Linked DNA regions of Saccharomyces cerevisiae S288C. Changing the gene in region 2 together with the main gene of any one other region gives a genetic interaction. Each region holds a gene or a part of one and is shown on either strand. Other genes may lie near its edges.

Evidence for each region.
Region 1: mutations in DUS3 (region 2) and TEF1 impair growth when combined (synthetic growth defect), as found in Saccharomyces cerevisiae (one study listed by BioGRID).

The regions. Positions count from the first base shown.
Region 1 is NC_001148.4:698,486-702,241, reverse strand, and holds TEF1 (translation elongation factor EF-1 alpha), read right to left. Parts: upstream 1,649-3,756; coding exon 272-1,648; downstream 1-271. Other genes in the region: GRS2 (putative glycine--tRNA ligase), read left to right, coding at 1-128; MRL1 (Mrl1p), read right to left, coding at 2,228-3,373. UniProt on the Saccharomyces cerevisiae protein: GTP-binding component of the eukaryotic elongation factor 1 complex (eEF1). In its active GTP-bound form, binds to and delivers aminoacyl-tRNA to the A-site of ribosomes during protein biosynthesis.
Region 2 is NC_001144.5:922,257-926,012, forward strand, and holds DUS3 (tRNA dihydrouridine synthase DUS3), read right to left. Parts: upstream 2,193-3,756; coding exon 186-2,192; downstream 1-185. Other genes in the region: zinc-coordinating transcription factor SFP1, read left to right, coding at 3,312-3,756.

The sequences.
Region 1 (3,756 bases), on a different chromosome or scaffold from region 2:
GAAATTCTATGAGGCAAGTAAGAGGCACTATTACTGATGTGATTTCGACCATTGACAAAATGCTTCACAACCCTGATGAATCGGACTGGGATAAATCAACATTTGGACTGTCGCCTGTTAAGATATAACTGAAAAAAGAGGGGAATTTTTAGATACTGAAATGATATTTTAGAATAACCAGACTATATATAAGGATAAATTACAAAAAATTAACTAATAGATAAGATTTAAATATAAAAGATATGCAACTAGAAAAGTCTTATCAATCTCCTTATTTCTTAGCAGCCTTTTGAGCAGCCTTGGTAACCTTAGCGGCCTTTTCAGTCTTGTCAACAGACTTGATAACACCGACAGCGACAGTTTGTCTCATGTCTCTGACAGCGAATCTACCTAATGGTGGGTATTCACTGAAAGCTTCAACACACATTGGCTTAGATGGAACGAACTTGACCAAAGCAGCGTCACCGGACTTCAAGAACTTTGGATGGTCTTCCAACTTCTTACCAGATCTTCTGTCGTTCTTTTCCAACAATTCGTCGAATCTACAAGCAATGTGAGCAGTGTGACAATCCAAAACTGGAGAGTAACCAGCAGAGATTTGACCTGGATGGTTCAAAACAATGACGGTAGCGTTGAAAGAAGCGCAACCCTTTGGTGGATCGTTCTTAGCGTCACCACAGACGTTACCTCTTCTGATTTCCTTAACGGAAACGTTCTTGACGTTGAAACCAACGTTGTCACCTGGAACACCTTGTTCCAATTGTTCGTGATGCATTTCAACGGACTTGACTTCAGTGGTAACACCAGCTGGGGCAAAAGTAACAACCATACCTGGCTTGATGACACCGGTTTCAACTCTACCGACTGGCACAGTACCAATACCACCAATCTTGTAAACATCTTGCAATGGCAATCTCAATGGCTTGTCAGTTGGTCTAGATGGTTGTTCAATGGCGTCAATGGCTTCCAACAAAGTCTTACCCTTGACGACACCGGCCTTGGTTTCCTTTTCCCAACCCTTGTACCATGGAGCGTTGGTGGTAGCTTCAATCATGTTGTCACCGTTCCAACCAGAGATTGGGACGAATGGAACAGTCTTTGGGTTGTAACCAACCTTCTTGATAAAGTTGGAGGTTTCCTTGACAATTTCTTGGAATCTGGATTCGTCCCATTTGACGGAGTCCATCTTGTTGACAGCAACAATCAATTGTCTAACACCCAAGGTGAAAGCCAACAAAGCGTGTTCTCTGGTTTGACCATCCTTAGAGATACCGGCTTCGAATTCACCGACACCACCAGCAATAATCAAGATAGCACAGTCAGCTTGAGAAGTACCAGTAATCATGTTCTTGATGAAATCTCTGTGACCTGGAGCATCAATAACGGTAACTTGGTACTTTGGAGTTTCGAACTTCCACAAAGCAATATCGATAGTGATACCTCTTTCTCTTTCAGCCTTTAACTTGTCCAAAACCCAAGCGTACTTGAAAGAACCCTTACCTAATTCAGCGGCTTCCTTTTCGAACTTTTCGATGGTTCTCTTGTCAATACCACCACACTTGTAAATCAAATGACCGGTAGTGGTAGACTTACCAGAATCGACATGACCGATAACGACAACGTTAATGTGAGACTTCTCTTTACCCATTTTGTAATTAAAACTTAGATTAGATTGCTATGCTTTCTTTCTAATGAGCAAGAAGTAAAAAAAGTTGTAATAGAACAAGAAAAATGAAACTGAAACTTGAGAAATTGAAGACCGTTTATTAACTTAAATATCAATGGGAGGTCATCGAAAGAGAAAAAAATCAAAAAAAAAAATTTTCAAGAAAAAGAAACGTGATAAAAATTTTTATTGCCTTTTTCGACGAAGAAAAAGAAACGAGGCGGTCTCTTTTTTCTTTTCCAAACCTTTAGTACGGGTAATTAACGACACCCTAGAGGAAGAAAGAGGGGAAATTTAGTATGCTGTGCTTGGGTGTTTTGAAGTGGTACGGCGATGCGCGGAGTCCGAGAAAATCTGGAAGAGTAAAAAAGGAGTAGAAACATTTTGAAGCTATGGTGTGTGGGGGATCACTTGTGGGGGATTGGGTGTGATGTAAGGATTCGCGGTCCTCGAAAATTAAAAGTCCAACGCGCCTGTTGCTTCCTATGTGATATGTATTATATGTAATATGCATAAATATATCTACTGCATTGTATTTTGAACGTACAAAGTATGCATTGTTTATACGCTATTATCAGCCAAAGTTGGGTGGTCGCTTTCTGTTGTATGACTATTGATGTCTAGGCTGTCAATAATTTCGTTTTGAGCCTCCATGTCTCTGAAGAACTCCCTGTTGGCAAGGCTGGACGAAGAGGCAGATGGGGATGACCGTAGTCTTATGCCCCCTTGACGGCTGTTCCTGCCTCTGACTAAAGACCTCATTAAAGATTTCGTGAACCTTCTTGTCGTCTTAATTATCCCGTTGAAAAATTTACTCCAGCGAGACCCGTCCTCTATGAGGTCCCAGTGTGGTTGCTCATTTAAAGATGGCGATATGTCGTGTAACTCGTCGTCGTTTTTCAAATGCCTATTTAGTTTAGCATAGATCCATCTTCTCCCCGCAAATTCGACTAAAAAGAATATAGCGAAGATACCGATGAAGATACCCAAAACGTTAACTTCATTCTTTTTGTTTGAGGTGGGGCACGCATGAATGCTGCGGACTTCGAAGAAATACGAGCAATTGTGTAGGTTTCCAATGTATGATATCTGGGCCTTTGATTGAATTTCTTTATCGCAGACAAAATTCAATAAAGTTGCCTTCTTGTCCTTCCCGTTCGGGCACATAGAGCCGTTTTCGTATTTGAGAGTTAATTTCTTGGCAGTAGAGCCGCCGACTAACGCAGGCCTTGTACTGAAGTCTCCAATCGATACTAAATTATTTTCGTTCAACTGGTCTACGTAAAAAGCGCCCGTTAGATTGGACAGTTGTTGCGACTCAGCTTCTCCGACAGGACTAGAGCAGATGCCTAACGTGAAGTTTGTATCGTAGCCCCAACCTCTCACTGACCACTTCGTCTTGGAGGATTCATGCTTGTTATTGCCAGAAATCTGTTTTTGGCCCTCCCTTAATTTGTTGGGAGTTGAAGATAGCTGTGATAGATCTATGTATGATCCGGTGACTGGGTTGGTTACCGCACAAAATAGATCTTCATCGTTTTCGCTTTTGGGTTTATCCGGATTTGCTAACGTTCTTTTTTGCTTGTGAGAAGCCCTATGTTCATTGGCTTCATGGGACAGTCCTGGACCATTGTATACATGCAAAAGTATTGGTATGGTAATGATTAGGACACATGATAGATATATTAGAGATGATCGTTTCAACATATTTTCCAGTGTGCGATCCTACAGTATGTTTTATGTTCTATAAAATAAAGCCCTTTTTTGAGAAGTAGTATGCTTAGTAAGAGTCTCCTGTAGTTTTGCGTTCTTATTATTGAAATTGAAATACTTGGCATTTTCTTCAAAACTTAACCCTTCTTGTTTCGGATACCTCTTGTACCTGCACCCGAAAGGGAAACGCGGCCAAATACAGCCGCAAAGTGACAGTAATGTGAATAAGTATAAGAAAGGATTAGTGAGCGGGAACTACAGTTTGGTAAATAATTAATTTGAAATTTACTGCCAAGGTAGAAAGGTGTCTTTTTTTGAATTTTTTTTTTTTTTTTTCAGAAGAAGGTTTTTCTTTTTTTTTGCTGAATATTTTCTAT
Region 2 (3,756 bases):
TCAATACACTTTTCTCCGCTCCTACCTAACCCTTCCCAGCTGTGCTTATTTTGATTTTCTTGGAACCCATACCTCACGTTTGAAATTGACACCCGTACATATTCCAATTCTCGTCTTGCAAAGGAAAAATAACCGCGCTTACCCATCAGATATGATTTATGATACATGTACACTTGATTTTCTATTTAGGAATCTCTGTTTGCATAAGAGCTGCTCTTATGTTTGGGGACAAATACAAAGTTCTCGTCGGTTTTACCGAAAAATAGATCACTTAGCTTGATCCAATCATTAACATCCGTACTACCCATTAGAGTTTCAAGTTCGTCTCTTCCACACCAGTTTGGCGGTCTCTCATTCAACTTCACAGGGTATCTTTCACAAATACCCATGGGGACATACCTATGAAAAAAGGACATGAACTCGCAGAAGAATCTACGACATTGAGAAATGCCGTATTCGTCGGTGCCCCAGTGTTCCATAGAGAACTGCGCATAATCCCTTAAAATGTCTAATCTTTCCGTACTTGTCTTGTCTAGATACTGCTGCGACTCAACCTCTTCAAAAATCCATGGTTTGATCAGGGCCCCTCGAGCAACCATAACACTATCAATATTTTCATTTCCGTTCAAATAGCGGTACCAGTCTTCAAAATTGTTGACATCACCATTTCCGACAAATTGAATTCTGTTCTTGGAATCCCTGCCTTCTTTGCCTTGTTCGGTTTCGATGAAATCCGCTTCGGCGGATCTCAAGGTGTCAGCCACTTGACTCACGTAGTCCCAATCCGCAGACTTAGTGTACCTTTGTTGCCTAGACCTACCGTGTAAGGTAATCGCAGCCACATCAGTTTCGTTAACCAGTCTTTTGACTAACCCTTCCGCGATAGGATGACCTTCCTTTGTACCTGTTCTGATCTTCACCGTGATAGGAATATCTTTCGATACGTAGTTCATCGCGTTTAAACAACGAATCATTCTTGCAGGGTTATCCAGCAGGGCGCTACCAGAACCTTGTCTGTATAGCAAATCGATGGGGCAGCCAGAGTTTAAGTTGATTTCACTTATTTCACTGACGGAGTTTGCGAGTGCTTCTGCAGCCTTTGCCGCCTGCCAGGCTTTAGAACAGGCCACTTGAACCCCGAACCCGGGGAACTCTGATGTGTGAGCTTTAGGTAACGCCCACTCAGAATTAGTTCCTTGAATTAAGGGAACTGCCAAGGCCATTTCCGAATATGTCACATCTGCACCTAACTTTCTCATTAGACGACGGTATGGTAAATTGCCTACGGTTGTCAATGGCGACACGATTTTTTTGTGGTACAAATCCAGTGGCTTTTTTTCTTGAGCAAAATAACGAGTGTCCTTGTACTTCAAGTATACTTCACGCTGTTTCATTCTATGTTCTGACAATTCTTTGTTCCTCTGTTCGACTTGGGGGGCAACTGGTTGTTCCACATCTGGGTCTTGTTTCTTCAGCTGTGGCGTTGACTCAACTTCTTCTTCTGGCTTCATGGAATCTCTACATTCTTGTTGGAAAGAGTCGATGATTTCCAATATTTCATTACTTTTTGTGAAAGGAAATCTTCTTTTTATAAGATCGAGTTTTCTTTCCGGTGAGATATGGTTTACCTCACCTTTAACGGACCATATTGTTTGCGCATCTGGATCAATCTCCTTCTTCGATATTAGGATATTATCTTCTTTATTCAGATGAGACGATAAAAATCTGCATTTGAATCCCATGGGGCAAAATCCCAACGAGTTGAAGACCGGACAGGAAGGAAATATATTACTTTCAACTTCAGGCTTTTTTGTTGAAAGGTACAGATTGATATCGTGAACAAACCTACAGTTATCACCAAAGGAGCATTTAGATATATCGCCATGGATCAAGCGTGGGCACAAGACATTCTGTTCCTTGACCTGCCTGTTATCTCTATTCTTGTTTTGCCCACGCTTCTTACCTCTTCCGTTCTTATTTTTCTTATTAGTCCCACCTGCAAACTCGTTTGTCATTCTGTCGGAAGACATCTCTTCATCATAGATGGCGACCTTCTGGTTTTCATTCTGCTTCAATGGTACAATATATTCTGGTTTGATATGTGCAATACCTTTGGACGGGGAAGTGTCTTGTCTCTTCACGGTTGAGTTGTCGTCGCCAACAATAGAGCGTTTTTCAGCGTTTTGCTCCATCAATAATGTTTAGAAGTTGCCTTTTTTTCCTATTCTGAGTTCATTAATGTTTCATTACTGCTCATCTCATCACTACACATTCGAACTAAATTCTTCATAACTTTAACTAGATCTTATGAAACTTTTCAAAAATGGTGCACGGGCTTTCTGTATATTGAACTTTCCGTCGCTTTTCGGAGCTACAATTCCCCTACCCGGCTTGTCGGCATTAAGTCTCTTCATCCCGTGTACTATTACCCGACAGGTTTCTGCGGCATGTTCTGTGGAACGACGGTACGGGCGGTGACTGGGTGCCAAACAGTGCGGCGTTCCCGTGCGCAAGGTGGTCTGCGGTAGGAAAAAGAAACAAAACGCGCCTACGTCGTGCAAGGGGACAGGATTTTGTCAGTTACATAATAAGGAGCAATTTCGAATCAATTGAAATTTGGAACAAATGGGCGATGCATTCGTTAAAAGGCGATTTTGTATCAAATAACGTCACTATCAGCCATTGTCACTTGCCACTGTCGCCTGCCACCGCTATTGCCATTATCATTTGCTTTCGCATCGTCACCGATTTAAAGCTCTCTAGGCTAACGTACGCATTTTACCTCCCAGGCCCTATCTCTTTTCTACCTGTCATCCCTATATAACGTCTTGTACATTCTAGTGGCTCCGTTAACAAGGTTTGACAAATATTACAATCAAAGAAGGATAGCGCTAGTCAATCTAATCATTAAGTTCGCTTATAAAGAGAAGGAAAGCTAGATTTTTTTTCTACTTCAATTACATATCGGTGCTTCTCTCTGGTGGTTTTCTGTTTTTCTAATATTGATCGATTTTACGGTGAGTTAAACTACTTCCTTTTATCGCAATATCATATTTAGAGCGAGAAAGCAAGAAGAATAAAGCTAGGAGAAAAAAGCGCCACGATACATTCATACTAAGTTTATAATATACCGGTCGTCTTTTGGCTTTCTGATACCATATTATATCCTCGAAACACTTTCTCTGGATTCACCTACTATTAATCACCTCAAGATTTCACTTGTAAGGCGTTTTCAAATTTATTGTTATTAAAAGACATATTCATATTCAGTATTTTTATTTTTCTTCGAAACAGGAAAAGCTTATCTGAGTATGGATTTTACAACAATGACTATGGCAAGCAATATGGCTACTAGTACTACTACGACGGCTACATCGGCACATGCATCTATAAATTCGTCATCAAACTTTAATATTGATATTGATTCGAACCAGAATACTCCTTCCATTTTGATAAATAACAATTCGGATTCTTCTAATGGAAAAAACACAGATTTTAACGGCGTCAATAATATTCACCAAAAAAATATCATGAATAATACAAATAATGTTCATTTGTACTCTCCAAATATAATGGACCAAACGCTACTAACTCCACAGGACATTGCCAAGTTACGGAGAGAATCAATAGCCCATTCTCAAGGGATGGGTGGTGTTTCATGGGGATCCATTAGTGTTGGTTCTTGGTTAAGAGATGAAATTATTAGCCGTAGAAATAGTATTGTACCTGCATCAGCAAACGGTGCTGCCTCCGCTG